5 linked regions of the Nothobranchius furzeri genome follow. The protein of the gene in region 3 interacts with the protein of the main gene of each other region in a biochemical or structural test. Links are inferred from orthologs where the notes say so. Each region holds a gene or a part of one and is shown on either strand. Other genes may lie near its edges.

Region 1 (6,438 bases), on a different chromosome or scaffold from region 3:
ACCTCCCCAGGGAGGCGTCCAGGAGGCATCCTGACCAGATGCCCAAACCACCTCAACTGACTCCTTTCGATCCGGAGGAGCAGCGGTTCTACTCCGAGTCCCTCCCGAATGTCCGAGCTCCTCACCCTATCTCTAAGGCTGAGCCCGGCCACCCTACGGAGGAAACTCATTTCGGCCGCTTGTATCCGCGATCTCGTTCTTTCGGTCATTACCCAAAGCTCATGACCATAGGTGAGGATTGGGACGTAGATCGACCGGTAAATCGAGAGCCTGGCTTTCTGGCTCAGCTCCCTCTTCACCACGACAGATCGGCTCAGCGTCCGCATCACTGCAGACGCCGAACCAATCCGCCTGTCGATCTCCCGATCCCTCCTACCCTCACTCGTGAACAAGACCCCGAGATACTTAAACTCCTCCACTTGAGGTAGGACCTCTCCCCCGACCCGGAGTTGGCAAGCCACCCCTTTATGTGGCATCCACTTAGAAAATGTTCCCTGATTATGAAACTTTGGCTGAATAGCGCTTGTTCTTGTCTCCAATGTGGCGACACATCCAGGAGCCGTCTGAGGAGAAGCCCAGAATCTCACATCCTCTTCAGCTCAGAAAGCGCCGATGTGATTACGCACAAGCGTGACGCGTCAACCCGGTCTCACAGTAAGACCGGGTTGGAACTGTTCAGGTTTACGAAGACAATCTTTACATTTGGAATTAACATACAGATATTAAATTATTTCAGTAAAATATAAAGCTTTTTATTTAAATATCCATTCATTATTTTACAAGCACAGAGAGCCGCATCAGATGGATGGAAGGGCCGCGGGTTGCCGACCCCTGGTATAGCCTATAAAATGACATGTTTTCTCCAGGACCAGAGAGGACGCAAACTCAATACCTCTTTTATTGTGAGGTAATAATTTCTCAGAGTTTTGCGGTTGCGGGCGGGAGTGTGTAGACATGCACGCTGCGGTTGCGGGCGGGAGTGTGTAGACATGCACGCTGCGGTTGCGGGCGGGAGTGTGTAGACATGCACGCTGCGGTTGCGGGCGGGAGTGTAACACACACGTTGTGGTTGCGGGCGGTAATGGTCAGAAATTCAGCGGGGGCGGGCAGGAGCGGGATGAAGAAAACAGTCCAACGCAGGGCTCTAGTACAGACCCAGAAGACATCTGGATCTGGAGAGGGCGGGGCTGCAGGTTCAGATTCTGTCAGCAGTCACACACGGGTTCTGACTCACGTGCTCACCTGTTTGTACTTCCTCACGTCCCAGACCTCCATCTGCCCCTGCAGGTTCCCAAAGCCAGCCAGAACCAGGATGTGGCCCTGAGGACTGAGACCAGAAAGGACGGTTTACTCAACAGTACTACAGTCACAGAACCGGTTCTGATCCGACACTGAGCAGGTTGGATCAAGACTCAAACAGACCTGAACATTAAGTTGAACTGAGCTTATCAGTTCTGGTTCTGTACATTAGAGGCAGACTCAGAACCATCTGATGGTGACTCTAGAACCTTCGACCTCGGAGTGGAAAGCAAGAGTATAAAGTTGTGCCGACAGGTTCTGGTACCAGCTGGTTCAGTCTGGACCTGCGATGGAGACTGATCTCAGGCTCACCTGTAGTAGGCGGCATTTCTGGGCCCGGTTCCGAAGTCGAATATGGGCTCGCATTTCAGGTTGAATACAGTGGCTTTGGCGGGCATGAAGCCGTACACCACACAGAACTCGGAGGAGTTTGGACTCCAGACCACGTCATAGATAGGTCCGTTCTTCGCTGTTTGAATTCAAAAAGAGAGGCAGGGTGAGTGCGTCAGAACAAAGTTCTGGTTCTGGTTTAATGGATGACTGGAAGTGTTGTCCGAACCCAGTTCTTACCGAGCTGTACCACCGCCGTCTCTCCATTCACGGCCAGGTAGTGCAGCGTCTGCTCTCCATAGTACGATGCCCCGCTTTTATCCACCTCGGTGCTCGCCGTCACCAGGACTGCCGACGCTGAGGGAACAACCCACAGGTTAGCTTTAGGGAACCCCGGCTTCTGCAGCCGTTCTGGACTCTCACCTTTCCTGTTCCAGTGCATGCTGACCCGGTCTGCCTTGAAGAAGCTTTTGTTGGCGAGCGCGGCGCTCGGACCTTCCAGAGCTGGATATTGATAGAGCCTCACAAACGACGGAGCTCCTTTGCTTCCTGGAACGTAGACGGCAACCTGTAGGGACAAACGGATCAGACAGCCGGACCTGGATTGAGTCTTCCTGTCCACTTTTCCTCACCTTGCTTGGCTGAGTTCCAGGTGAGAGAGCGAAGTCCGATACTTTCTGCATGTGCAGCTTGTTGGCGATGGAGTCTGAAACAAAACATTCTGGTCTTTAGACGTCCGGATCCGGATCTGAGACCAGGGCTGCCCTGGTTTACCAGCCACTCCTGTAGACCACCACCTACTACACCCCCACTGAAGCAGATGAACAAGTTTCTTACTGAAGTCGTTGTTCTCGTAGAAGTGCAGCTCATTGTTGACGCTCCTCACACAGATCTTCTCATCTTCAGACCAGATGGGACACCTGAGGACAAGAGACCTCATTAGAATTTCAACAACCAATCAGTGAGTAGACTGAGGCCTCCAGACTCACCAGGAGTCCACCTTTTTCTGATACAGAGATTTGATTGGACGGCCGCTTGGTAACTCCCACAGCCGGAGGTTGGCCTCGCCCTGAGGACTGTCCTGCGTCTCTGCAGAGACCAAAGAGAAAGCCTCGTTCACTCTGTCACGTCTGATTCATCCTCCACCATATGTCCTCTAAAGTCTTACTGGTGTATGGTTGCCAGGTAACCAGGATGTTGTTGAGGGGAGAAAACTCTATCAGAGCTGTCTTTGGGAGTTCAAAGTTGGACACTGTGGACCCATCTATACATTTGACCACGTGGACACTGAATGAAAGAAAGACAGTCACTTGAGCATTAGCATCCATCATCACGTCGATAGGAGACAAGACGATGAAAGTCTACCTGCGTCCGTTGCACCATCCAAAGAGTGTCCCATCTGTGCTGAAGGTGAGGCACCTGCTGGGATGGGTGTCCCTGAGAAGCAAACAAAAAAGGTTGATGCTCATCTGTCCATCTGTCTTTCCGTCCATCCATCTGTGGACAGTCAGAAGTGAACCCTTACCTCTGAAAGGCAGGGTGGGGCTCACAGCGGGGGGGTCCACTCAGCAGAGACGTTCCCTCTGATCCTCGGACTGAAACAGAAACAGCAGGTCATTTGTGTCTAGAACCAGCAGGAAGACATCCGTGCAACAACCTGGTCTCTGTAGAGGTACCACTGCCTGGTCCGCAGCACAAAGCCTCAAACCTGTTACCAGGAAGCAGGAAAATAACAGGTCTGGACCAGCGAGTGTCCAGGTGTTATTAATGAAATAACACCTCTAATGGTCCAGATATCAGAGACGTCATCAGGACAATGGGTTAACAAACCCTGCTCTTATTAATAAAACAGGGAAAATGTTGGGAGGTTAAATAAAATAAATGAAAATCATCTGATTTGTTATTCTGACCCAAATTCATTTCATTTTAACTTGTGAAGATTTCAGTCTGTCGGGGTCAGGAAATTCTAGTAAAACCGCTTCAGCTCGGTGCATCAGAGCTCCTAGTCCACCAGGTAAAATTAAAAATTCGCCTTTATTTGAACCTTTATTAGGAAACTTTCGTGTCACAGACGTGATAGACACGTTAATAAAGCATTTTTGACGAATAAAGCTGCAATAAAACATTGAAATCAGATTTATTTTCACTAAAAGGTCGCTATCGGATCGGTGTAAACATATAAACTCGTTCAAAAAACAAAGAGTTTAAACCTAATTTACCTGCTAACAGCGGCACGGGGGGCGCCATGTTTACATGTGTAGGAAGGTAGGTAGGAACCAAAGACCTTCCGGAAATGCGTCACAGCGGAAGTAGGCGGGCTCCTCAGTGCCACATCAGCGTAAAACACCGATTAGCAACAAGAGTTTCTGTTTCAAATTGAATAAAAACGTTTCTCTTAAGACTCAAATATCAACTCGTTTTGTTTCAATGAACACATTCTAGCGGAATTTATTGAATATAATGCAAAACGATTTTTTATGTAAAATAAAGCGATGTAGATAAAAAAAAGAGATCAAGTTGTAGAAATTAACAAAAAATTGGCTAAATTTCCTTTTCACAATAAAAGAATAGACTTTCACTATTGACTTGTTTGTCAAAACACTAAATTTTAGAGTAAGTGGTAAAACTTTGTTTTGATATTTTTTGTGTGCTCCACCAGGCTAAATAAAAAAAAACATTTCAAAAGTTAAGATTCTAAATTCGTTTAGCCCAATTTAAGCGACTTATAGAAAAAATGAAAACAACAAAGTTCATGACCAGCTTAGCTGAAAATTCAAACAAATTTAAATTGCGATTGCATCTGCAAATGCACTAGAATGGTAATAAAAATATTTTGGTGGATGAGGTGGTTTCTAGTTTGACACAACCAGCTCCTGGCACTAACATCTTTTAATTTCTTTATTTAGGCCTTTTAAAATGCATGCATTCATTTGTGAGGATGAAATCTTATATGCTGTATCTGCCTCACCAGCTTCATTTTGAACAATATTTATACACTTAATAAAACGTTGAAGCCTTTGTCACGTTTGAGATAAACATTTTTTGCGTATTTGCATATTTCATTAATCCTATAGTTTCAGCCTTTTCTTTTGAAAGAATGAACAGGAAACCTTATTTTGGATGACCACTAGCTTTACACGGGTGTCACGCAACCTGTGGGCGTGGTTTACTGGAATGAGGCGGGGCTTTAGCTTTTTGAGTACGTAGACAATCTGGAGTTCTTCCCAGTCCATGGAACAGCGAGGCGGCGCGAGAGACGAGTAAATAAAAACAATTAAAAGCGAATAAACAACCAGACAAGATGGTGGCTAAACAGAGAATCCGCATGGCGAACGAGAAACACAGTAAGAACATCACGCAGCGCGGGAACGTGGCCAAGTCAATGGTGAGTTAAAGAACCGATCCCGAACCAAAACCACACAGTCACAGCTGGTCCTCCTGATCCCACCGACTGATCAGCTGACCCAAAAACCGTTTAGAACGTGATCAGGCGGCTGGAGCGTGTAAAGATGCTTTATCTAAGCACTCAGCTGATCGATTATTCCTTTTAATCAAACTAGCTGGGATGTTGGTGTCCATGGGATCGATCAGAACCGTTCGATTAGACACGCAACAGGAAACCGTAATTCCAATTTCCAAAATAAAAGCACACGATTGGCGAGAGATCAAGTGAGAGAGGAAAAAGGTTTAAATTGATGACATCTTCAGTGTTGCTCAGTAAAAAAGGCACCGTTTTTGTTTCAGAGGAACTTGGAAGACGTAAAAGGTGTGGGGCCCTGGCTTCTAGCTCTCTTCATCTTTGTTGTCTGTGGATCAGGTAAGCCTACCGTTTGATGTTTCATGTAATGTATGAGCGTCTTCTCATGTAATCACTTGAAAAAAGTGGCCAAAACCCTTAAATGTACCCGTGGTGCCATCTCAATGTGGGCGGAGTTTGTTTAGTCACACAAGCTCAACCACTCTTCTTAGCTTAAATCTTTCCAGTTTGAACTATAATTGCTCTTTAGATGAGAAGCAACATCTTTAGAACTAACAACACATGTTTTATTCAAACTTCCAAACATGATGCGTCTGTCAGCTGTTGATGACATCATAAAATCAGGTTGCTCTGATGGCTTTTCCGACGAGCAGGTTGACCAGTAGGAAGTGAAGCTGGTAGGTCATGGTGCCCTGGTGTCTGTTGGTGGCCTGATTGGTAACCAACACCAGGTGGTGTACATCTGAGCATGCTCAGACTGGCTCAGGTCTGTTCTTGACAGGAGGTGGGACTCTTATCAGAGTCCAGCAGCTGAGCCCAGATCACTTATGATCAAACCTTCAGAGCAAACACCTAATAAAACACATTGGAAACGATGATAATGGTAAAATTGTAAAAGTCCAATTAGTCATCGTCACACATTGGTGAAATCACATCGCCACATTTCAACCGTCCCCATGGGGAGTGGTGTTGCTGCACTCCGGAACTATTTGGTGGTCTAACCTCTTAAAACTGAGTGGGTATCAGGCATTGGGTCCCATTTTTAAAGTCTTTGGTATGACCCGACTGGGATTTGAATCCTGATCTCCCACTCCTAGGGTGGACACTCCACCACTAGGTAGGGTTGTCACGGTGTGAAAATTTAACCTCACGGTTATTCTGACCAAAATTATCACGGTTTTCGGTATTATCGTATATTTTATGTGGCATATATTTTTTTTAAACATGTTACATTTTCAGAAAACTAAATAAACCCTGTATATCAGGAAAATATTGTCCTCAGTTTGTGTCTAAATTTAGCCTAAAATGTTTTATTTTGTAATTATGTTGTT
Region 2 (6,662 bases), on a different chromosome or scaffold from region 3:
GATTTCCTAGTATTTTTTATTTTAATCTTTCTATCATAATCATGATAGATATATTTTTAAAGGCTCCATTAAAAAAATTATTTTCACATTTTCTTTCTGTGATGTTCATTTCTCCTATTAATAAATTAGGAAGTTTTATTTGAACATTAGAGAAGAGAATTGTGTTTTTTATCATTTGTATCAAAGTCACTGGTATAGCCTTACATACTTTCTCATATTCCTGAATAGAACATTGAATGTTATTAAATTTGTATTTAAAATTCTGTAGCTGTAGTATTTCACCATCTTTATCCATAACATCGTGTCCAAAGATAATTCCGTGATAATACCACTGTTGGTTAAACAAAGACTTTCTGTTTGAAAAAATTCTCGATTATTCAACAAGGTGGCACAATGAGGAGTAAAATTATGGGTAAATACCATCTTCCAATAATGCAATACTTGTTTGTGAAATTCAGATCATTTAAAAGGCAATTTAGTGATTTCAAAGTCACATTTCAAAAAAAAGTTTAGCCCCCCAAACTTCTTGAAGATATTTTTTGGAATATGAAACCAAATTGTATCTGTCTTTAATAGAAACTCTTTCAGCCACTTTGTTTTAAATGTTCCCAGCATTGCTTCAAAATCCACAGATTTCATACCTCCATTTTTATGTTCTTTGACTAACTGGGATTTTTTTATATAATGGGTTTTATTTCTCCATATAAATTTGTATATAATAGCATTAATATTTTTCACTGTTTTTGGAGCAATATAAAGGGATTGACATGGATATATCAGTTGGGAAAAACCCTCAGACTTGGACAATAAATTTCGCCCAAAAATAAAAAGATCTCTGCTAAGCCATTGGTTCAGAGTTTTTTGTATTTGATCAGTTTTTTTCTTTCATATATTTCTTCTCTTTGTTTTTTGTCTGCAACTATCTTAACTCCTAGATATTTTATTTCTTTTTTAACAGGAATTGACATTATCTCATTATCTGTGCATTCATACAGTGAAAGTTACTCACATTTTTTGTGTTCAGACGAAGACCTGATGCTTTGGAAAAAAATGAAATAATTTGTAATTCTTTGTTAACCATAGATTTATCCTTTAGAAAAAAAAACAGTGTCATCTGCAAACTGACTTAAACAAAATTCAAAATCAAAAAATGTATACCCTGAAAATTTGGATGATTTATTACTAGATATGCTAATAGTTGTGTACATAAGATAAACAGTTTGGGGCTGATTGGACATCCTTGTCTTATTCCACAAGTTATATTTATTATTTTTGTTAGTCCTGGGTTTAAGGAAACATAACTGTTAATATCAGTATAGAACATTTTTATCACTGAACAAATTTTTTTTCTAAAACCGAAATATTCTAGGGTGGAAAATAAAAAATTATGTTCTATAGAATCAAAAGCTTTGAAATAGTCTATAAATAAAATGAGGCTGTCCGTTTCCAAAATAGACCAATAATCCAGTATATCCAGTACTAATCTCACATTATTATGTATGCTTCTTCCTTTTATAAACGCAGACTGATTATTATCTACTATTTTATCAATTACCGTTTTCAGTCTTTCTAATAGCGCTAATAATTTATAATCATTGCACAATAGAGTAATTGGCCTCCAGTTGTCTAAGTCTGTTGTATCTTTTTTTGGTTTGGGAAGAAGGGTTATTATTCCAGTTTTCATTGTTGGGGTAAGACATCCTTCATTTATACACTCATTAAATGTACTTAATAACAATTCTTGAACATCTTCCCAAAAAAAATTAAGAAATTCTGAGGTCAATCCATCAATACCGGGCGATTTCCCATTTTTCTTTTTTTTTCAGGTAATTTTCTACTTCGTTAATATTCAAATCATCCTCCAGATTTTTCCTGTCTTCCTCTCCAATAGATTTAATATTGTTCTTTATCTGAGTGAAGAAGGATTTACATTCCTCCTCACAGAAATTAGAACAATATAGGTCTGAGTAAAAACGTTGAACTTTCTCCTTTATTTGATTTTGGTCTACTATTACAGTGTCATTTTTTTAAATTTGCATATTTTCTTTTTGGATTGTCTAGACTTTTCTAATCCATAAAAATATGTTGAGTTCTTTTTAGTGCAACTTAGTATGATGGGTATGATCTGACAAGCTACGGGTGGCGTGGCGCTGTGGCTCATCCTTCATTAATTTAATTGAAAACATCTAAAGGTTGGAAAAGTAATAACACCACCCTGCAGTTTAACTCAACTGTGCCACCTTGTTGTAATCATTTTTTAATCAGTCGTTTAGTCGTTTATGCCTAAGTATCGCCCGAAGCTTCCTCGTGAACAACCAGTGGCAGTGGCGTTACAGGATCTGCTCGGGAACACACCGGAAATGAGTGCTACGTCGAGGTCTGTTCGCCCATGTATTATGTCGTATTCATGTCCATGCATAAAACAAGCCTCGATATTTAATGAAGTATATATATCAGGAGGCTTTGTTGTTTCATGTGTGTTCTTTTACATTTTAGCCAGGGATACGTGGAAAGGAACCACACTAAATAAGTAGTGGAACCATTGAAATGTATATAATCTAAACCAAAGCCATTTTGGAGGGGACACATATCAACGTCACACAGACCATTCATCCGGCATTTGCGTTTGCTTTGGTTGTTTTGGTCGAATGTGAGTAAAAAACAATTTGAATATTAACTGTCTTTATTCTCGTTGCGTTTCTTACTTGGGTTAGAAGGTATGTCGGTGAAAACGTAAACGGTGTGTCTACAGTTGGCTAGAAGCTAATGCTAGGCGCTAATCTCATCGGTTCACTCACGTTAAAGCTGAAAACGTTACCTCAGTTTGTACTCTTGACGGAATGTAGCTCGTTGTAACCATCGACATAAATATACGTTGTAACACGCTGTTATCTTTATTATAAGTAAATAGCAATAATTAAAGCTTGCATTTTACATCAAACCCTTCCGGCATGTTTGCTAACGGTAGCTAATTAAAAGGCACGAGAAAAAACAGTCCGATTCAAAACAAGTGTTTGAGTTTCATTATAAGATCCAGATGCCCCGCCTGATTGCCCATTGACCGCTGGAGATGGGCACCAGACCCCCGCGATCCTACGTGGACAAAGCGGGTTCAGACAATGGATGAATGAATACGATCCAGAACCACCATAGAAGTAAAGATGTCCATGGAAACAGCGGACACAGAGTTTCAGGCTAAACTCCAGCGGACGTGATGTTCATTAATCCCCTAAAGGCAGTTTGGTTCTAATTCTCCTGCTCGGAATTTTTTTTCCTCAACAAAGATCATTTTATCGTTTAAGCTGCCACCGTTAATCACATTTATTCTGATCTGCTCGCTCGTCTTGTCCAGCTGAGGCAGATGTTTTATGTATTAGTGAGGATGCATCTGTACTTTAAAATGTTTATGTAATTCTTAAGACCAGAGAGTCCACAGAGGAGGAAAGTCCCCTTCCTGTCAGTCCACCATGGCGGACATCAAGAACTTCCTCTATGCCTGGTGTGGGAAGAAGAAACTGACTCCAAGCTACGATATTCAAGCTGCAGGAAACAAAATCAGGCAGAAGTTTAAGTGTGAGGTGAGTCCTCCACCTGGTTCACCTGAGGATGCCGTCTCTCTCCCTCTTTATGGTTCTGACCATAAACACTCTGTGCCTGCAGGTTCGTGTTGATGGCTTCAACTACACAGGGATGGGGAACTCCACCAACAAGAAGGATGCTCAGACCAACGCAGCCCGGGATTTTGTCAATTATCTGGTCCGAATTGGACAAATGAGTGCAGCTGAGGTTCCTGCTCTTGGGGTCAGTTCTGTTTAGTTTTTACTCTGAATGGTTTTTGTGTTTACAAACATTCACACTGGTGATGTAGGCTTAGGGTTTCCCAGAGGGATGCACCAAAAATGTTGGCCACCAAAACATTTGGCTGAAAATGACCCGAAGGTGCTTTTTCTGTTTTTTAGCCGAGACAGACCTCCGCCCTCATGTGGCAACTTGCTCTTTGCTTCATAAAAATCATACATTCGTACTGATTTCAAAAGGATAGTAAAGTTTTCTTCTTTTTAGTAATGCTGTTTTATTCCGATCACTGAAATTATCATATCGATTATATATGCAACACACTTTAACTGTTTTCACATCTACCGCGTCTGCCTGACTTTTTTTTTGCTCTTTGACATTCCCCTATATCTGTCACTATTAGCGATGTTCCTTTCTGCACCCAAATATGTCCTGAACAGTGAAATAAGCTTTGGATCGTGTGTGTGAGGCGTGTTTACACTCATGAAGCACACAGACACTGTTGCTGCTGTGCAGCTGCAGTGTCTCTTTCTTCCTCACTGAGAACGAGTGATTGTCTTTATCCGAGGGTGAATATTACTCTTCAGAATCAGTCGGCCATTACCAGACAACTTTGTCAACAGTTAACTCTATGTACTCCGAACACTTTAACAGAAACACCAGAAAGTGTTACTCAGCTTGAAGTTACACTACACTGTCTTTTGGTGTAAAGTAAGAACTTCATGAGGGATTATATTTGCAGCTGTGGCTCGTTAAACACAATATTTCGACTTTGGCACCTAAAGGGTTAATTATACGGCCTTTCTCAGCATGCCTGTCAGTTTTAAGTCTGTACATTTATAATTTGTAATATATCAGTTTATTGCCAGACTTGAAGTCCATTTTAAAAGAAAATAACATAATGATAAAAAAATAACATACAAGATAAACACAGGGAGAAAAAAAAAGATACCAATTAACATGAATACTAATAAGATCCTATATAAAACACAGGATATAACTGCAGCGGGAGTAAGGGACAACAAAACTAACTAGTTGAGATAAATCTACCCCAACATTTTAACCAGTGCTTTCTCAGCCTAGACAACTAACGAGAGCAGCTCACAGTGGGATGTGAATGCAACTATAATACTATTGGAAGATTCAGCCGTCTCATGAACTTGAATATTAAATTTCTTAGAAGCGCCTTAAATGTGCACACTCAGAAACTAACGTTTAACTAGCACTGCCTCCCCTGGGAATTTTGAAGAGGATTCTCATTGCATCGTTGTAGGCCACTTGTAGCCTGTGCAAGCTAGACTTTTATAGAATGACCACAGATGTGCAGTATATAGTGGTGTGCAGTATGCTTTAAATAATGCCACTTTAACAGGTGTGGAACAACTGCTACATTTCCCTGCAGTGGTGTTTGCTTGCACATATAGCTTGCCTGTAAATATCATCATCGTCACTCATATTGGCTGTGATAAAGTGTCCAAGATATTTTATCTTCTCACAGACCGTAAGACTGTTGCCGGACAAAATGAACACAGGAAACTTACGCTTTTTATCCTGGATGGTTCTGTAGATTAGAACAGCACTTTTGCTTGAGTTATATTTTAAATCATAGTCCATTCCATACCCAGTACTAACATCTAGGAGCTGCTGCATTCCTGCACTACTTGGGCAAAAACTACAAGGTCATCCGCATACATAAGGTGATTAATCCGAACATCACCTATCAAACAGCCCGTGTTACAAGCTCTCAAGACGCCCAGATGACTCATCAACATATACGTTGAACAAAACTGGAGATACATTTCCACCCTGCCTTACCCCATTGGACCAAGCCCCCACAATGCGGCTCAAAACTTGAGTCCAACGCGGAAGTACCAAAAATTGCAGTTCCACCCTCATCCGCTGGGGGCTGGTGTCAGAAGCGAGCAAATCCTCATTGACTCCCATGTTAAAAATACCAATTTCACAGCAGAAATAAACATGTTTACAGCCTGGTACCAAAACATGTTTTTGTTTTAAATTATCTAGTTTACACTCATGACAACTCTGAGGGGGGTGAATTTTTTTTCTCACTCTTCTGTTTAAGTGTATTAAAAGCCTAAAATTCTGTATAATTAATGAGCATCAGACCCACGTGACCACAGAGCTAGCTCCGTGGAAAGACCTCAGTAGAGCCTCGGCCTGGCTTGGAAACTGCTCCGGGATTTTGAGTCTCTGTGTGTGTGTATTCTTTTTTGGATATTTTTTGTGCAATGGTTGGACAAAATGACTTGCTGTGGCATTAATTGCACTAATAGAGCATCCAAGGAGTCTCCACTTCATTTTTTTCTATAAGTAAAATTACATTTATGTATTTTAGGTCACTGCCGAGCTGAGCTTAGATTTTAACTTGTACTGTTAAACCATGAAATTTAAATGTAATAGGGTAAAACCCAGTGCATTTAACATAATGCTGCACTTTAGAAAATGGGTTGAAATATAACATGTTGGTGGAGCTGGGTTCCGACTATCGGCTTGTGGAGCTCTCGGGAGACCGATGTTTTCCACCCGTTCTCCCCAGCGGCAGCTCAGCTCAGCTGTCTGATCGCGGCTTGTCTGCTGCGCGGGCTGCCGGCTTGTGGAGCTCTGGGATGGAAACCTTTCCACCCAGTTCTCCACAGCGGCAGCTCTGCGCATCTCAGATCGCAGCGGCGCTTGTCTGCTGTGCGGCTGCCGGCTTGTGGAGGTCTGGAGACCTCTGTGTTCCACCCGGTTTTACCCAGCGGTCAGCCCGGCGTATCTCTGACTCAGAAGCTCTGGTGTTGTGCACAGTTAACTCCTGTTGTAGCTAGGTTGCTACCTCCGTTAGCTTAGCTCCCACCTCCGCATTA
Region 3 (5,004 bases):
GGCGCTTAAGCATAATTCTGCGCACACGAAGACGCATAAGAGACCTGGATGATGAAGCTCAATGGTTAAAGGAATCACTGAAGCGGTGTGAAGCGCTCCGTCGCACGTCTAGGCGGTACCGTAGGAGGTGAGCTGCCGTGGTTCGCCGCATGCTACAGGAGCGGGCTATCTAGGTGCGCACAGCGTCCCCCGGTCCCCTCCTCCTCCCCCTCCTCCCTGTCCGGAACTCGACCTCACCAGTCTGAAGCAGCCACCCTGTCCGTGACAAGCCCGGACCTGTTACTAGGGGCTTCGTCCGGTTAAATTCCAGAACACGTTATCCGGATGTTTGTATTCAGACACGAAGGTCTTACGGACAGAGTCCGGAACATTTCCGTTTTTCATGGCCTGTCTGAAGGGGGCTTATGTAACATGTGTGGTCAGTAACTTCACGTTTACGGCTGGGACCTCTTTATGAAGGACTCACCTTGACTCTTTCATGGCCGGACGAGAGCTTCCAAAGAAGCTCAAAGAAGATCAACCCAAAAGCGAACATGTCCACTTTACGGTCATATTTTTTACCGGTCTTCTGTGAAATAAAGAACACGTTTATTCTTGCTGTTTTATTGCTACATAATGCTCTTCAGCCATAAAAACTTTTGACTTTGAAATGAAATGAAACATTAGATAAAAAGATGCTTGGTACATGAAGCAAACTGAGTAGAAATACATTTGTGACATGAAGTAAAAAGATAGCATTTATCAATAATCCTGCAATAAGGAGTCACCTGTTCCGGAGCCATGTAAGATCTGGTTCCAGTTCCTTTAGTCTTCTCCAGCAGGTTTTCATCATTCTCATCTGTATCAGTTGTGGCCAGACCAAAGTCTCCGATCTTCACCGTTCCGTCGCTCCCAAACATTATATTGGCAGGCTGAGGATTAAAAAACAAAGACAATTAAACTGAGTATAAATTATTTATAACTTTATTTATACTATTTTCTAATTACAACAGAATATTTGAAGCCACTCAGGCGCCTGAAAACTTAAATTTGAATCATTTCTGGATGAGAAAAACAAACAAACAAACAAAAAAACTATTAATGACTCCTAAATTCAACACATTTGAAAAAGAATGTCACCTTGAGGTCTCTGTGAATGAGGTTGTTGGAGTGAATGCATTCGACTCCACTGACTATCTGCTGGGCAATAGGAAGACCTTCTGCTCTTCTCTGTGGGCCTTTTAGATCATTAATGTTCTTCTCTTGTATCCAGTCTCTAAGGGTCTCTTGTTTACATAATTCCATTTTAATGTAGAGGTATTGTTGACACGAGCTACTCTTAGAGCTGCAACAGAGAGGGAATGATAACATGGTTGGTTGGTTGTAAAAGGAGAGACAACTTTTTGAAATTAGACAAGGCTTACTCAGAGGAGCTGACACTGAAGTCCTCATCTTGGTATCTTGAATCTTCTTCCCAACAATTGTAGTATCTAACAATGTTGGTGTGCAGGAGGTCCGATAATGCGATCACCTCTCGCAAAGCTTTTCTAAAAGGGACGATAAATGACTTTATTAATAAAAATACATGTTGTCATTCTTGTAATGCCTTTGCTAATAAAATGACTTTAACGTACTTTGTGCTGCGAACAATCTTCACGGCGTAATTCTTGCCCAACAGTTTTTCCTTTACTGTGTAAACTCGACCAAAGCCTCCTCTGCCAAGTGGCCCGGTGACTTCAAAATCTGATTTAAACCTGGAGAATATAAAAAGACTGTTTAGGCAAGAGTGATCCTTTATGAATCCTAAAGTACAACAGAAGGTTTCTGTCATACCTTGGCTCAGCTGGTGTACAAGCTGCAGGTTCAGTAGCTTTACTTTTGACGTCCTAAGAGAACAATTTAGTGGATTTTACTACAGCTACAATGTTTATGTTCAACTTTGCAATATTTAAACAATCTTAATTCAGTACTAAAGTGAGCGGTTCACTAAGCATTATCTTGTTATAATATTAAAATGCTAAACAACACAAGTGAGGGTGTGTGTTTTTGAAACCTACACCTACAGATTACCCAAGGGTGACGACAAAAACCACTTCAGAAATGATTTGAATTATTATAGAACAAACCTGCTTGCTGGGAGGCTTTACTGAGTCAGCAAATATCACCGAGTCACTCGTGTTTTGTGATAATTCACTAGAGTCTCTGAAAAACAAATTATAAGTACATTCTCAAATCATGGCAGCAATTTAATTATAGTTTTATATATCAGGACACAATGAAGTTACTTTGGTTTTCATCAGGTTCTAAAACTTCAAATGCAAAACAACAAAATGTACTCCAACATTGTTGTTGTTTAATAAACAGCTGTCCTTGTCTCACACTCCTGAGTCCTCCCCCTACAAACACCGCCCCACCCCAATGAGATTAGCCTTTTGTAGAAGACACACCATGCCAGCAAATCAGCGAAATACTGTCGCCACTGTGTGTCTTATCAAAGCGCCGTGGGGACATGGCGTTGCGGGAATTTTGCTGTATCCGTGCCACCAAGCAGTAGTGATTTTGCCGCAACGCTAGACTTGTGAATGCATTTTACGCCTTGGTGCAACAGAAGGTGGCGTCATGATCACGTGGGGAGTTACTGCCGAGCCCCGGCCAGAAACTATGTTAAAAATTAAAGTAAATACTAGGGCTGTCGCGGTAACCGCAAAAATGAAATATCGCGATATGAAGAAGCCCACCGCGCTGCATCATGCGCCACCGCGATTACTGAACTTGGTTCAACTCAATGATGCATGTTGAGAAGGATGGCTGCACTGGTATCAAAACGAAACGTTACTTCGCTCCTGTGGGAGCGCTTTGGTTTTCAGTACGTCAGCTGCTGCGCAGCCAGAGTCCTTGGCCGAGACAGAGCTGCCACCAGCGGCAAATAAATAAATAAACGCTCGGAGACCTGCTGAAGTCCCGGACAAGCACTGCTTCTGCAGCCGTCCCAAAGAGAGTTTGAGCCGAGCTGGAGCTCACTCGCTACCTGCAGGAGGAATGCATCCACCCTAAAGAAAACCCCCGTGACATGGTGGAGCAACAAACGGGAGATTCCCTTTGCTCGCCAGAGTCGCACGCAAGTATGTGTGCGTTAGTGCAACGAGCGCACCATCCGAGAGGCTTTTCAGTGTTGCTGCAAATGTTGCCACCCCTCTCAGATCCTCTCTCAAACCGTAGTTAACATGCTGGTTTTCCTTGTAGGTAACAAGGACGTGACCGAGCTATAAAGCACCGTCATTCGTGTGTGTGAAAGTGAAATGATAGTGCGCCCGCCCCCCGGCGCGCGCGCGCGCGCCCGGTACATGTAATTTTTTATGCTTGATTTTAAACAACTAAACAAAATGGGGACTTGTTTCTTATTTGTTAGATGCTGCAGCCAAATTTGCATTTAAAAGTTTAACCTCCTGAATTTTGTTGTTTTTAAGTTCAGTCGGACTCCGACTGTCGGAGAAACAAGCGTTACTGCGATCTGCGTTGTTACTGCCCTTTGATCTGCATTCAGTAAAGTGTTATTAAAGAAGGCACGGCAATTTTTAACCTTTTTTAAATGTGTAAACATTATGTTTAGATAGTACTGCAATAAAAAAGTGCTGCAATAATATCGCACACCGCAATATTAAGCCACCCTGAATCACCGCAGGGGGAATTCCTCAACCGCGACAGCCCTAGTAAATACAGGCAGTATGCTGAGATGATCAACTGGAGCGACGCAGAGCTCCAGGAGCTTCTTTCCGTTAGAGCTGGAGCTCAGATCACCAAAGACTGCACGGGAGCTGTGGAGGATAGACACCTTTGGGAACGGCTTTTGAACAAAACTTAATGAGCGTGGCTTCAATCGTAATAAAAAGCAAGTTATGTCCAAGATAAACGGAAGCCTACGGCAGCACAGGGATCACCCCATACCCTTTTTTCTAAAAAGGACACGATTGCGCCACATTACCGCCACGGTCTGACTACTTTTGTTACCTAAGGCTCCCTGATGCTGGCGATAGGGGGCAGTAGATACCTAAATCACTGCTTCCACATTATTTTTGTGTTCAAATAAGACCTTACCAACGGATGGCCCTTAGGGTCAAAAATCCCTGGGAGTGCAACCTCCAGCAACATAACAAGAACATCAGATTCCCTTTCATCACTGGCAATGAGTGAAGAGGTAAATGTGTAAAACAACGTTTATTAATGGTGAAAGTGTTGTAACCATTCGTTACAAATCAGTAAATGTATTTTGTCCTCATAGACTTCCATAGAAGGAAACAATATGGCGTTGCCCAGAGACTTGGACTCAGTCTCAATACTCACACTGCGCCCTGCGGACTTCAGAAAAGAGCACTTGGAGAAAGTGCGCAGTAGGGTTCGAGTGCGTAGTACACATGTGTGCAAATAATTGCAGAATTGAGACAGGGAGCATTGCGTTATCGATCGCAACGCATGCCGTGATGCTGGTTGTTGTGAAACTTTTTTCAAAAACCTTTATTAACAACTTTTAAACAAACAGCCAAACAGCTATTTGAAATAAATTAACATTTATTGCTGCAAATAATCGTCCTAAAATGAACTAATTTCATTAGAAAATACATATTTTCAGAAAAGGAACTTAAGCCTTTTCTTCCGCAGCAATGGCTTGTGGGTAATACCCTTGCCCAAGGTCCGCTTCGCTGCAGACTTGGGTGAAGTGCAGATTAAGGGTGCAATGGGGACGTGATCAACTTCTGCACTTGAAAATCGGGACACCCTACGCACTCGCACCCCTGGCCGGGAACGCGCAAATGAAAGGCGCAAGTGTGAGTACTGGGATTGGGCCTCAGACCCGCTCCCATGTATTTTAGAACAGATTTTTATGGTTATATATTATGAAACTGCCAATATCTTTTAACAACTGGGCATCTTTTAAGTCATTTACTACAACATTTCGATGGATATTTCCAGAGATTAACGGTAAAAACTACACACTGTCACTTTAAACTGGTTCTGTCTGAGTGCCTT
Region 4 (6,657 bases), on a different chromosome or scaffold from region 3:
AAACTGCAGCACAAAAAATGTAGCACCCAAAGTTAAAAAACATTGTTTAACTTCCTCCTTTACAATAATCAGAGGTGGTTGTACTTTAAGAATATTTTTGGTTCCTTACTGAAAAGTGTTCACTCTGTCATTTACAGGGTGAAAACATCACTGCACAGTCTAAAATAACTAATTGATCCAAATAACAAGACATTTTCTTATTAATTTGGGGCTAAACGTGTAGATTTGGTGACATCATCACACTGAAACTAAAATTTAAACTATCAAAATAAAAGTCAAACACTGGGTTAAATTCTAGGCGTCACAAACACAAACGTCTTGAGGTAATTATACTCAGCACGAGTCTAACAGCTTTATTCACCTGGTCTGAGATCACAAAGCTTATCAGGGTTTGGTATTCTAAATGTATTTTAAAAAAAGGATCATATTTTATTTCATGACAAGTACTTCAAAACAGAAAAGACCTTTACAAAACTCAAAAAAAGTTACTAGAATTTGTCAAAGATGGTTCATTCATGGATATTCGCTCCGACGTTGATTTTGTTGTAAAATAAAACACAAAGATTTGAGGAAAAAAACGACAAAGTCAAATTTCTCCATTAATTTGAACTCAAATCAGACAAGCTGATTATTTTAAAACATACTTAAAATTATTAATTTCAACTAACATCATTTGTGACATATGACTCAAAAGTGCATCATTTATGACGTCATGTATATATTTTAAACTTCATATGTAAGAAAACAGCTAATTATATGAAGGATAAATGGGCTAAAAACAATTTTTTTTCCTAAAACAATCTGTCACAAGTACACAAAATATCAAGGGAGTGGGTTTGAGTTTTAGGCTGTGAGATTTTCACCAGCTGGACAACAAATGAACTAGAGATAAACTTGTGTTTAGCTTCAAGGCAGGATAAAAATGTCTCTTAACCAATCTGAGGTCAAAAAGCCTCTACTGTACAACAAGGAGGTGTACATTGGCATCGCGTGGTGGCGAGTTCGGGTCTGCGGACAAAAAACGCGCCCAGGTGTCTCATTTTCCTCCTGCCATGATTTTAAGGTACTGCAGTGCATTGTGAGCCGCGTGGGCTCGAGCAGCTTCTACGTTCGGAGCAAAGCCATGACACACAGTGATGGGTTGTGTGGACAGCTCCACCAGACACTGACAGCGGCCGCTGAGGCTGCGCTCCTCTGAAAAACAAACAAGCATGGATGTGAAGAAAAAAAACGAGGAGTTTCTAACCGCTTTACGGTGCTCCTGTTGTGCTGTTGAGCGTGAGCTCACCGAGGTCGAGGTAACTGACATCAAAGCGCTGCTCCACGGACAGGTCGCTCAGCAACGAGCAGAAGTTGGAGCCAGCTGGCATTCCCAGAGGGTGGCTGCGGAGCTGCAGGATCTTCTCTCCAGCAGAGTTACGCAGAGAATCCCAGGTGCAGCTGAAACTTTTGCTTTTACCCGACTCCGCTCTGCTGCCCATGTGCTGCGTAAATGGGATGATTTTATACACGTTTTACACAGACACAGTAGAGCCAAGCAGAGAAGCTTCATCACCATAACATGGGCACAGTTTGTGATATTTTGAGAATTGCACAAGAAATTTAAGCGCAAGCATATAAATCACTGCTGTGGTGTTTAGCTCTCACCAAATTGAAGGTATCTTCTTCTGCATCTGCCTCGTTGCTGCTCCTCAGGTCCACTGGAACGTCGTGGATCCGTGAGAGCATCTTAGCGGCTGCATTCCTCTTGGCTAACTTCTTAGATGTGCCACTTCCTGGACAGGAAAAAGGAAATCACTCCTTCACTTGGCATAAAAGCAGATTTTGACAAATCCAATTGAGCGTGAAAGCACAACATGCAGATATCAAACAAGAATGAGAGAAGATTTACCAATTTCTACAAATCTCTCCACTCTGCAGGTCATGGTAAACTCTTTTCGATGTGCTGGACCCGACTCCTGAGTGACCGTGTACTCTGGCAAACGCCATCCTTTCTGCACCACCAACTCCTGAAGTAAATCAAAACAGAAAAAAAAAGGAAGGAAACTATAGAAATATTCTAACAGAAACCAGTGTTGTGGATTACCAGGATAAAATAAAGTCTCTATGGCGTAGTTACCTGCAGCGCCCCAACGGGGTTACATTCCGACTGTTGAGAACTGCTGGAAGTCTTCATCTCTGACTGAGAGCTGCATAAAACATGAGAGGACAGACTAAATCCACACAAATCTCTCTCTTCCATCAACTCAATGTTGAAACATCGTCTGGATCCAATCAAGACAAGCCATTAAGCATCACTTAAGCATCGCTAGGTTCTTTTCTACATTTTAAAATGAAGTAGGGTCCTGACCAGTCTCCGTCAATAGACACATCAACCTCGATAAACACGTCTTCTCCGACAGCGACTCCAGCTGGATCTCCGAGGCTTCCTTTGAGCATCTTCAGAGCAGCCTCAGCTGCTTTGTGCTTAGCTGCCTTCTTGCTGGGCCCTTGGCCGGTGCAGCTGATCTCTCCGACGGAGACGCGGAATGTGAAGTTGGGCTGGTGGGCCTGTCCCTCCGCCTTCAGCAGGTCGTACACTGGGGTTTTGCCTATCCGCGTTCCATACTCCTGCAGCAGACTGATGGGCGTCTTTCCAGGATTCACAGCCAGCATTTGCTCAATACTATTTAAAAGATAGAAAGCATAAGCAGCTGTTCACTTATTTTGTTATCATCTTTACTGAGATCAAAACACAACAATGTGGCTAGTTTATTGCTGCTAAAATCTAAAGGGCATACGCTACAATGTTCAGTGGAAAAACTACACTTGTCTATATTTTAGTTTCACGAAATGCAACAAGAAATAGGAAAAGTGTGCCATCTTTAAGGCTCAATCTGTGAAATATGTTTCCAAGAAAAAAAATACTATTATTTGCCAAATGAATACTGACCCAAATAATAAGTGTGGTGTTTTGAGGTGAGATTCTTCACAGTGTACAAAGGAAATGGGCACAAACCAATAAAACTCTATTATTTACATTATCAGAGTAAAAGAAGGCACTTTTATTCAATGATTTATTTGTGAGGCGGCAGCTACAGCCATCTGGAATGAAGATTTGAACCAGAAATGTTTGCAATCAGCTTATTTTATTACATATATTACAAATGGAATAAAGAGATTTGTGTAATTTATGCCGATCTTTACATTTAGGAAAACATTATATTAGTGTTTTTGACCACCTGTTGCCTTCCAGATTACAATAATCCCTCAAAAATCAACCTAGCAGTAAAAAGCCACCAGATAAAGAGTATTAACGATGAGTCAAACAGTTAAGCTGTAGAGATTAAAAGAATAACAGAAGATTAAACACTTAAAACAACATGCACGCGTTAGTTTCTGAGGCCTTTGACTCTGACATTTTATATTGTTTACATACAAATGGCTTTTATCAAGAAGACAATCCCACCTGGAGTCCCCGGAGTTTCTCTTCCAGCTATCCGAAGCTGTCTCGTCGTTCATTCCCCGTTTCGCGCAGACAGAACCGCTCGGTTTCGGATGTAAAATCCCCCCCGCCACAACAGACACGTACTCTCATTAGACGGTATTTATTGTTGTCCCAAAACGATGAGCTAAAGCTGCAACATGATGGATACCAGAAGACGAAACCACCTCTACAGCGACAACCTCGGTCACACGATTATGACGTAGATTGCGTCCTGGGCAGCGTAAGCCCCGATTGGCCCAAATGCCTTCTGTGCCTCAGAAGGTGGGAATGACACTCATCAAGCATTCATCCCTAAATATACTGATGGGTCGAAAGTGTCAGGAAATATAACGGGATTTTCTTTCTGGATTCCGACATTAAGTATATATTATAAAAGTCGAACATCTAATAATCTGTCAGTTTATACAGTGGAAATGTTAGCCATTTCATTTAGTTTACAGTGGATAGAACAAAATGGTGTTAGGAAAAGTATTATTTGCTCAGACTCCATGTCAGCATTGTTATCAATTAAAGAAATGTCAGCTGATAAGAGGTCAGATATTTTGTATGAAATATTTGAGTGCATGTTTAGGTTAGGTTATACAAAAGGTATAATGATTTCTTATTAATAAAACCTTGTTGCAGCACTAAAGCAGAAAAATGAGATTTTGCAAGAAATATGCTAAATATTTACATATGAATTGTTTTAGAGCCGTTTTATTGGCAGAATCTGATATTAATTTAGTTCTTACAAAAAAATGGGTCCCAACGTGGTTTGTGTGGCGTTGCCATAGTGTGACGTCATAGGCACAGATCCCCTGTCCTCTTGTTTGGAAATGGAAATATGATCACCCTACATTAAACAAACTGTCCACCCGGGCTTTTGCGCTGCACAGAGATGCTTCGCTGCCTATGACTTTGAACGCCAGTTGAGAGTCAGTCTCATTCAGACTGACCAATGAAGAGAGGGCCTCAAGTTTAGACCCTCTCCTCATTGGTCATTCCACACGAGGTGGGTCAAAGGTTACCCTGAGCGGGTTACATGATGTCAGGCATTCAAGTATTGAGTATATTTACTGCATATTACAGTAAAATATTCTGTATGTGACCATATTATGGTGATCCTTGGGTCGTGATGATGGGGACCTTTAATATTGTTGCCCAGGGTACAACTAAGTGTTAATCTGACCCTGGGAGCGGAGGTAGTGACTAACACAGCACGTCAGCTCTGTCTTATCAAATGCACCAAGTAAGTTACGAAAAAAGTAACTTTAAATATTCAACCGAAAAAGAGGCGAGCTGAAGAAAACCTAGGGATTACTGAAGAAACGTGAGCAACATTGAAGCAATCACAGCGAGATCCGTTACTGTCTGTGTGTGTGCGCGGATGAGCCGGACGGACTGCGCTCCCGGCCGGCTGCAGTTTTCTGTGTAGGGAGGGGCGGGCGCTCTATGTGACTGGCCAATCACAGAGCGTGAAGACAGTCAGTTACCCAATGAGGATTTTCCTTCAGCACGATTACGGATATTTACGTGTTTTACTCGTTTCATGCTCGTATTCGTCAAAAATGCTCATCCCTAATTGCTATAATACATTATAGTAATGTATGTGGTCTAAATGTATTCTACAATAAATAAACTGCTGTGTCTCATTGGTGTGGTTTAGTAACACAATTGGGAAATGATTTAGGTTATTTTGACTAATTTACCTAGGAGCTATTGAAAAAAACCTTAATTTTTTTTATAAAAATCCTAATAAAATGATCAGATCGCATGAAAGGTGTTAACAACTGCTGTGTCTCATTGATCTAGCTTAGTAACAACACTGAGAAATTGTTTTGGGTATTTTGACAAATTTACCTAGCTACTGGAAAAATCCCTTAATTATGGATAAAAATCCTAATAAAAAAGATGAGATTGTATGAAAGTGTTTATAAATGGCTGTGTCTCATTGGTGTGGCTTAGTAACACAATTACGAAATGGGTTTGGGTGTGTTGACTATTTAGCTAGGATCTATTGAAAAAAGAAATCCCTTAATTTTGGATAAAAATCCTAATAAAAAAATCAAATTGTATGAAAGTTGTTAAAAATTGCCGTGTCTCATTGGTGTGGCTTAGTAACACAATTGAGAAATGATTTTGGTTATTTTGACTCATTTACCTAGGAGCTATTGAAAAAATCCCTTAATTATGGATAAAAATCCTAATAAAAAAGATGAGATTGTATGAAAGTGTTTATAAACGGCTGTGTCTCATTGGTGTGGCTTAGTAACACAATTAGGAAATGGGTTTGGGTGTGTTGATTATTTAGCTAGGATCTATTGAAAAAAAATCCCTTAATTTTGGATAAAAATCCTAATAAAAAATCAAATTAAATGAAAGGTGTCATAAACTGCTGTGTCTCATTGGTGTGGCTTAGTAACACAATTGAGAAATGATTTTGGTTATTTTGACTAATTTACCTAGGAGCTATTGAAAAAAATCCCTTTTCAGGGACCAGAATAGAATAAACGCTCTGCCTCCATGTTGCTCACTGAGTAGGAGGACACAGCAGACACAGAGGTGCTCTCAGCTCCCCCACATTCATCAACACCATGTCTCCATTTTCAGCCCGTGTACTAGTACACTCGGACCTGTGAATGAATGATGGCTGAGGCTGCCAGACTTGTCTGCCATATATTACACAAAGCAAATTTTCTTTTTGATCTTCATTTGTTAAATTTGATCTAAAATTGCAATTTTAAATGTTGAGTAAGGACTAAAAATCTAAACTGCAGTCCTTTTTGAGCTGTCTCCCATCGGTCCACAAGAGGGCAGACACATTTGCAGCTATGAAAATTAGTGAGTTTGACAAGTGTTATCATTTTCTTTTTCTGTGGCACACTTGTATTTGTGCATTTATCTTGTTTAAAGGTGCAGTATGTAAGAAAATAGTGAAAATTTTACAGTGAGAAAATCCCAAAAGAGTCTAATGCTTCAGTCAATTTGGAAGCGAGGTTCTACTGAAACATATTTCATATCCAGCTGGCTGCAGGGATTGTCACTTTTTCTCCTTTCAAAACAAAGGAAGGACGGACATATGCTGTTTACCAACAGGGGTTGCCATGTCTCCTGTGAGCTAATACAGCAACACCGACGATTGCAATTAGACGACGGCTGGCAAAAACTTCCAGAGTGGTTCAAAGTGGTTG
Region 5 (6,385 bases), on a different chromosome or scaffold from region 3:
CCTTTTGTCTTAAAATGTCTGACCAGTAGGTGGCGATATCACATAAATTAACCATTTTCTATGAAAACTGCGTTTTCAAGAAGCTTAATTTGGTAATCTGGAGTATTTTAATGATTAAACTAGAAATCTGAAGGAAAATGAATTTAGCATGTGTAAATAATTTATGAATATTTTTGATTTGTATAATATTTACTTTCAATAGAAAAATACAAAGCCTTGACATTAAAAAATTTGCCTTTTTACTGAAAAAATTAATAATTAATGCATTATCTGATTCTGATGGTATTGTTAGAATTTGAAGATGCGATTCTTGATGAACTAATAAAACCTAAACAAACAATAACAGACACAAACGTTAAGGTTCAGATCGGTGTTATTTTCTGCACTCAGGGTTAATTTTTTATAACAGCAAGCACAGGCCAGGACATTTCTGATAAATATATTAGTTTGCTTATTTATATAATGAGGCACCCCACAGGAGCAACAGCAACAGACAACAGGATTGGACTGGTTTTTGAGCTTTAACATTTACTTTCTTCCCCAAACACAAAAATAAAGCTGCTGATTCCACTCGACAGACTCAATAGTGTTAAAAGTAAAATAAATACAAATTCTATTTCAGTTGTGGAATGAAATGCAAACAATCCTCATATCATAATAAAAAGTACATCCTGGTCAAAGTAAAGCTGCATATATGGGGAAAATGCAACACTGGGGGGGGGGGGGGGGCTAAATAAATCACTGATCTATCATTTCTGTGGTGTCTGAAGCCGCTCTACATGACTACAAAAATAAATCTTTACAAATCCCAATGATTTTACAGCAAGCATAAGAATGAAACCGTTTTCACACACACATACACACCATAATAAACACACACTTCACCGATCTTCAGCTCATATTGCAGGAGGACCTTGTTATGACGAGCCGTCAGCTGATATCTGTGATTGCTGTGGTCAGGCGGATGTGTCTATTTGCTGGAGGCTACGATCTTGATGTACTGGAGCGCGCTATGTGCCGCCACATTGTGAGCGTTGCTGCAGGAGATGCCGGTGCCGTGACACATGGTGACGGGGTCGGTGGATAGTTCTGCCAGGCACTGGTACTGTCCGTTTACAGTCAGCTCATCTGTCAGACATGAACACAGTCAGGGATTTTCTACAGGCAGACATAGGGTCTCCCCTGAGTCTGTTTTTCTGCCTTTCGGGATAAAAGAAGCCTCCAAACATCAACCAAAGCACTAAATTCTTACCAATATCATAGTATGTGACCTCGAAGCCCTGCTCGTGGGACAGATCCAACAACATCTGAATGTAATCCGCGTTGGGAATGTTCAGCGGGCTTCTCCTCAGTAGGGAAATCTTTTCTGCGGAGGACTTTTTCACATTCTCGAGGAGGACACTCGGTTTAGGAGTCTGAAAAACCAGCAACAAGAACATTTCAAACATCTTGTGGATGTTTTAGGAGGTGAAATGAAAGACCTGACTCACCCAGGTGATCTCCGGACCGCCTGACAAACTTTGAAGCTTTGCCACAATTTTCTCTGCAGCCTCCCTTTTTGCTGCTTTTTTAGAACTTCCAACACCTAAAAATAAATAAATAAATAAAACAGGATTAAAACAACAGAACCAAAACAAACAAACTATTTAAATGACTGAAAAAAATGTTTAATCTTTCCTTTTTCTGTAAGAGAGTCAAATCTACAAGCGACAGTGAACTCCCTCTGATGTGGTGGACCAGACTCAGCTAGAACTGCATATTCAGGCCGACGCCATCCTCTCTGGATCGTTAACTCCTAATAATAATTTTTAATTTTAGGTCAATTAATATGAAGAGAAAAATGATATATAATTAACTAAAATGACACCCTTGATCAGTTGCTTAAAGGTTAAATAATACAAACATGACTGTAAAACAGCTGCAGCAAGATAAGTACTCTCTTCTGTAACACAGACCGTCAGAAATTACATAAAACAATAATTTTACATTTTCACAAAAGCAAACGTGACATATAAAAGATGTAACGTGATCACACCTGCAGAAGGGACACAGAGCTGGGATTGTAGTTTGCATCCGCTGCATCCCCGTTGGTGTCGGACTTCCCAGGAGAGGTCCTATTGGGCGTCACGTCAAACACATTAGAGCTTCAACAGTTATAAGAAATCAAATAAATACAACAAAACGCAAAACTTCTGACGACTGACGTTGCTGAATATATTTGTTCTATAACTTTACAGATAATGCTGTCAAATTATTTAACTACAAATAAAATTCCTATTGCAGCCTAAGCAGCATTAAAATATTCACATATGAGACCCCGATAGAAGCTGTACATTCTTTGGTTTTCGCTGTAAAAACCAGGTAAATGAACTAATGGTAAGCAAATAGTTTTGACTTCACTCACAATTTTTTAGAATCGAGGTTCAACAGCTTCAGCGCAGCACTTGCAGCCTGGTGTTTAGCAGCCTTTTTAGTAGGACCTTGACCTGAAATAAAATATAACGAAACAAATTTGTTTCAAAAGCAAAATTAAGTGAATCTTATCACAGATTTTAATTTCTAGCTTAAAATTTTTGCAATTATTTTTAATTTTCTTTGCACAGGTCTACGCTGGAAGTGCAACGGGACACGCTGATGATGCATTTAAGAGTTTACAGCAGCAAAAGACTAACCTGTAACGTGATCAGTGAGTTCTAACTGGATTTTCAGCATGAAACCTCAACAATAAATTACCTCCTGAGTTAGGAAGTACCTAGGTAGTACCTACCTGTACACCGAATGTCTGCAACTCTCACGCTGAAGAAGAAGCTGGGCTGGTGGCCACTTCCTTCAGCTTTCTCCATCTCGTACACAGGAGCGTTCCCACTGGCAGTCCCATACTCATGCAGGATTTGGATCGGGGTCTTCCCCAGGCTGGCCCATTCTGCTTCTTGTGAATCCAAACTTATATTTAACAAAGAAACAATAACATGCAACCTTTGTTACAGGTTAATCTGGGGTTATTTTGGTTGAACAAATTATATTTTATGAATTTTATATGGTGTCTACCAAACTGTTTAGGAAAAATAGGAACTGTAGCTAATTGCGAGTATTTCATGATTACTTCTAATATAAAATTATTTTGTTGTTTCATCACAAAAACAATCTATAATCTGTTAAATAGGAGAAATAAATGTATGTATAACCGTTGGTTTTCAATGTAATGGTTTGAAGCGTCCATTTAAACCGTACTGTTGTTTTTACGCACACAAGAAGATAAAATCATTAACTAGTTTCTGTAAATGATTTGAATTTAACTTGTAAATAATAACGCTACAAACCTTTTGTCGTCCGGTGACTGATACCCCTGTTGAGACATGTTGGATTATTTACGGAGGTCAGCAGGAATTTATCTGGTGGAAACTTAAAAAATAAAGATAAATATAATCTAATGCTTCAGGTTTTCTTCACATTAAACATATTCATGTTTCTAAACGAAGAAAATGCTGCATCCTTCCTGGAGAAAAAGGGAAATAAAAGTCGTGTTCACATCCGGGTCAGCGGAAGTGGTTGCAGCGATTTAGTGCACCCCCTGCTGGTTGAGATAATGGACTGCAATCAAAAACCTAAAATTGTATCTCACTAGTGGGGGGAACGTTTTAGCAAAACAATAAATAAAATGTATTTATGTGATGCAAAAATTAAGTAAGACTAAATTGACACAAATTTTATTTCAGTTTTGAAAACTAATTATAATAGGAAACCAGTTTTTTTCCAGGTTACTCTTAGACAAAGCATACTTTGTATCAAAGTTTATTTTTCATCAACTTTGTTCATTTGACATTTTTTTCTATTCCCATTACAATAATCTAAATAGCCACATTTTACTATTTTGACAAAGAACACGGAAATGCCATAAATACTGTTGCCATGCATCAAAAGATCCTGGGTTCAAATCCCAGCTGGAACCTTGCATAGTTTGCATTTTCTCTCCATACACACCAACTCAGGCTTTCTCCTAATGTGCAAAAACATGCATGTTTGAGTAATTGTCAATTCTATTAGACCCTAGGTGTGTATGTGAGTAGAAGTTTGTCCCTTTGAGACTCTGTCCAGGTCAGACTCTGCCTCTCATCCAATAACTGTTGGACATAAGCACCCAGAACATTTCCACTAATGTATTTGATAAGAAATATATTCTTTAAGAAATTAAAAAAAATATATATATATAGTACTGTTGAACAGTTAAGATTGTTTAGAGGCTTGAATTTGTCATGATTACACCTAGATAGCAGTAGAAAACAAAGTTGGTAATAAATTCATTTTCAGTCTAAATGCTTATTGCTTTGGCTATATAAAGTGCCACATCAGGGACAATTTAAATAAAATCATTCTGCAGCAAAAACTAAGACCTAACACCAACTCAAATGAAACATAAAACATGTTCAGAATTAGAATGTCGTGTCAAGGCGCTGAAATTTGGCACACTCAGCTTCTTTGGAAATAACTAGGCAGACTCCATTCTGCAGCAAAAACTAAGACCTAACACCAACTCAAATGAAACATAAAACATGTTCAGAATTAGAATGTCGTGTCAAGGCGCTGAAATTTGGCACACTCAGCTTCTTTGGAAATAACTAGGCAGACTCCTGGGCTTTTACAAGAGCTCATCAATAAACATACAAATAACGGTCACACAGACACGCACCAATATTTAAAGATGTAAACAGTGTGTGGAATCGGCCTCCCAGGGATCATTACATTCTATTAACAGGAGATCAGAAGGTTTTCAACTCAGGAGGAGGTGTTTTGGGAATGGGGAAGACCACTCTTTTGCGGAGTGAGAAGGCTGGTTGAGGCATCTGCTTTGTCTGACCCCACTTATCAGCAGACATCTTGCTCACATCGGCGTTCACTTGTGTCAGGATAGAGATGAGATCAACCTCCCTGAGAAAGACAAGAGATGCTGTGAGACGATGACAAAAACACCACTTAGATACAGTAACCCCCAAAGCACACTGGAGGCGTCAGCGGCACGGAACATCTCTGCTTCAAATAGAATCCATTATAGTCTAAGGGTTGATCCAGACCGAACGCGACACAGGACATTTTAGGTGTGTCCCAGAAATGGCTCTCTGCGCCGCTAAAGACAGGATTGGGTTCCATTTTTGCCACAGGCCACTTCTGGGACATATCAATTTCCACAGGTAACATAGAGCTAGACAGGGCAATCCCACACGGTATCCGTGTGCAACGTCCAGCTTTAAAACAAATACTATTGCACAAATGCAATTTTTTATCCATCAAGATTACATCAATACATGTGACCTAACGGATTATTTACTCCCAGCATCTTTCAAGAAATGCAACGGTGTTTTTTGTCCTAGCAGTGGAGAGGCACAACATTAAATACGACATCAAATGTGATCTCCTTCTTCTTTTTGGTTAAATGGTGGATGGCACAAACAAACAGTGATCTTTGAAGTCTCGTGGAATTTTGTGATTCTACCAGTTAAAAGAGGAGGATGGAGGAGAAGCCGTTCCGCATCTGAGATGCTTCTTGACATGGATTAACACGCCACGAAACACGCGAGTAAACCGTTCCGCTGCCGTTAATACCTCCAGTGTGGACTGGGGTTGCCTTTTTACGACCAATCATATCATAGAAAAGAAGAGACAGACCTGTTAGGCAGGTAGATGAAACAATGAGCAAAGTGTAACAATAAGAGAAAAACACCTCCAAACAGTACAGATATCGCACTTTACTTACTGCGGCACCATTTGGATGAGGTTTCGGCACAATGACTGGATATACCAGGTGCCACTTTTCTTGTCTCTGTAGGACACATAAGACGGAACGGTGGCCATTCCCAGCAGGAAATCTGCTCTTGATGGAATGGTGTCAGGAACTCTTGCATCAGAACAAATGTCCTTGTCTTCTGTTTCTATGCCATCAGTCTGGGCAGCTCTCTGCTCCCTGGTGCCCTGACAAGCCTGGATGAAAAACAACTTGGGCTTCTCAACTAAAGTGGGGCATTTCTTTCCATCAAAGAGAGCCATCATTTCTTCGATTTTGACAGTCTGGCCGTCTACTCCGTACACACTCCCTTCCAGGCCATGGCTGAGAACGCAGCACACCAGACAGTCCATCTGACTGTGGTCTCTTCCTCTGAGGTCTTTAAGCACCGACAGCATCTTCTCTTTTTCACAGTCCCGGTAAATCTCCACCTCAAAGTTCAGCCATTCAAACACTTTCTTCAGTGAATCTGGGGGAACATAAATTGATGACAATGCATGCAAACATATTGCTGTGCAGTGTTGCAAACAGAGAATCTACTGACGAAGTGTTATTAGAGGCATTTATAAAGAATCAAACCTAAACGTACCTTCATCGGTATGGGTTCCC

Evidence for each region.
Region 1: of the proteins of interferon-induced, double-stranded RNA-activated protein kinase (region 3) and eif2a, one has a biochemical effect on the other in vitro, tested with the Homo sapiens proteins (4 studies listed by BioGRID, with this or other methods). The link is inferred for Nothobranchius furzeri from reciprocal best matches to the Homo sapiens genes EIF2AK2 and EIF2A.
Region 2: the proteins of interferon-induced, double-stranded RNA-activated protein kinase (region 3) and dhx9 form a complex in vitro, tested with the Homo sapiens proteins (2 studies listed by BioGRID, with this or other methods). The link is inferred for Nothobranchius furzeri from reciprocal best matches to the Homo sapiens genes EIF2AK2 and DHX9.
Region 4: the proteins of interferon-induced, double-stranded RNA-activated protein kinase (region 3) and tarbp2 form a complex in vitro, tested with the Homo sapiens proteins (2 studies listed by BioGRID, with this or other methods). The link is inferred for Nothobranchius furzeri from reciprocal best matches to the Homo sapiens genes EIF2AK2 and TARBP2.
Region 5: the proteins of interferon-induced, double-stranded RNA-activated protein kinase (region 3) and prkra form a complex in vitro, tested with the Homo sapiens proteins (3 studies listed by BioGRID and IntAct, with this or other methods). The link is inferred for Nothobranchius furzeri from reciprocal best matches to the Homo sapiens genes EIF2AK2 and PRKRA.

Annotation. Positions count from the first base shown.
Region 1 is NC_091753.1:55,699,540-55,705,977, forward strand, and holds the start of eif2a (eukaryotic translation initiation factor 2A), read right to left. Parts: upstream 3,958-6,438; 5' UTR 3,877-3,957; coding exon 3,849-3,876; intron 3,225-3,848; coding exon 3,155-3,224; intron 3,067-3,154; coding exon 2,995-3,066; intron 2,917-2,994; coding exon 2,798-2,916; intron 2,719-2,797; coding exon 2,619-2,718; intron 2,550-2,618; coding exon 2,467-2,549; intron 2,336-2,466; coding exon 2,262-2,335; intron 2,198-2,261; coding exon 2,053-2,197; intron 1,987-2,052; coding exon 1,870-1,986; intron 1,769-1,869; coding exon 1,612-1,768; intron 1,328-1,611; coding exon 1,243-1,327; intron 1-1,242. Other genes in the region: stress-associated endoplasmic reticulum protein 2, read left to right, coding at 4,931-5,014, 5,374-5,446. UniProt on the Homo sapiens protein: Functions in the early steps of protein synthesis of a small number of specific mRNAs. Acts by directing the binding of methionyl-tRNAi to 40S ribosomal subunits.
Region 2 is NC_091751.1:34,778,504-34,785,165, reverse strand, and holds the start of dhx9 (ATP-dependent RNA helicase A), read left to right. Parts: upstream 1-2,495; 5' UTR 2,496-2,650; intron 2,651-3,420; 5' UTR 3,421-3,467; coding exon 3,468-3,578; intron 3,579-3,660; coding exon 3,661-3,801; intron 3,802-6,662. UniProt on the Homo sapiens protein: Multifunctional ATP-dependent nucleic acid helicase that unwinds DNA and RNA in a 3' to 5' direction and that plays important roles in many processes, such as DNA replication, transcriptional activation, post-transcriptional RNA regulation, mRNA translation and RNA-mediated gene silencing.
Region 3 is NC_091752.1:1,789,740-1,794,743, reverse strand, and holds part of interferon-induced, double-stranded RNA-activated protein kinase, read right to left. Parts: intron 2,182-5,004; coding exon 2,106-2,181; intron 1,866-2,105; coding exon 1,813-1,865; intron 1,734-1,812; coding exon 1,614-1,733; intron 1,527-1,613; coding exon 1,404-1,526; intron 1,325-1,403; coding exon 1,120-1,324; intron 912-1,119; coding exon 768-911; intron 569-767; coding exon 467-568; intron 1-466.
Region 4 is NC_091743.1:62,018,212-62,024,868, reverse strand, and holds tarbp2 (RISC-loading complex subunit tarbp2), read right to left. Parts: upstream 3,645-6,657; 5' UTR 3,502-3,644; coding exon 3,449-3,501; intron 2,666-3,448; coding exon 2,351-2,665; intron 2,190-2,350; coding exon 2,120-2,189; intron 2,010-2,119; coding exon 1,892-2,009; intron 1,776-1,891; coding exon 1,648-1,775; intron 1,485-1,647; coding exon 1,289-1,484; intron 1,195-1,288; coding exon 1,037-1,194; 3' UTR 819-1,036; downstream 1-818. UniProt on the Homo sapiens protein: Required for formation of the RNA induced silencing complex (RISC). Component of the RISC loading complex (RLC), also known as the micro-RNA (miRNA) loading complex (miRLC), which is composed of DICER1, AGO2 and TARBP2.
Region 5 is NC_091754.1:21,792,068-21,798,452, forward strand, and holds prkra (interferon-inducible double-stranded RNA-dependent protein kinase activator A homolog), read right to left. Parts: upstream 3,511-6,385; 5' UTR 3,359-3,510; coding exon 3,321-3,358; intron 2,944-3,320; coding exon 2,768-2,943; intron 2,487-2,767; coding exon 2,405-2,486; intron 2,115-2,404; coding exon 2,036-2,114; intron 1,796-2,035; coding exon 1,677-1,795; intron 1,585-1,676; coding exon 1,491-1,584; intron 1,416-1,490; coding exon 1,253-1,415; intron 1,129-1,252; coding exon 971-1,128; 3' UTR 769-970; downstream 1-768. Other genes in the region: casp10 (caspase-8), read right to left, coding at 4,758-4,926, 5,750-6,245, 6,366-6,385. UniProt on the Homo sapiens protein: Activates EIF2AK2/PKR in the absence of double-stranded RNA (dsRNA), leading to phosphorylation of EIF2S1/EFI2-alpha and inhibition of translation and induction of apoptosis.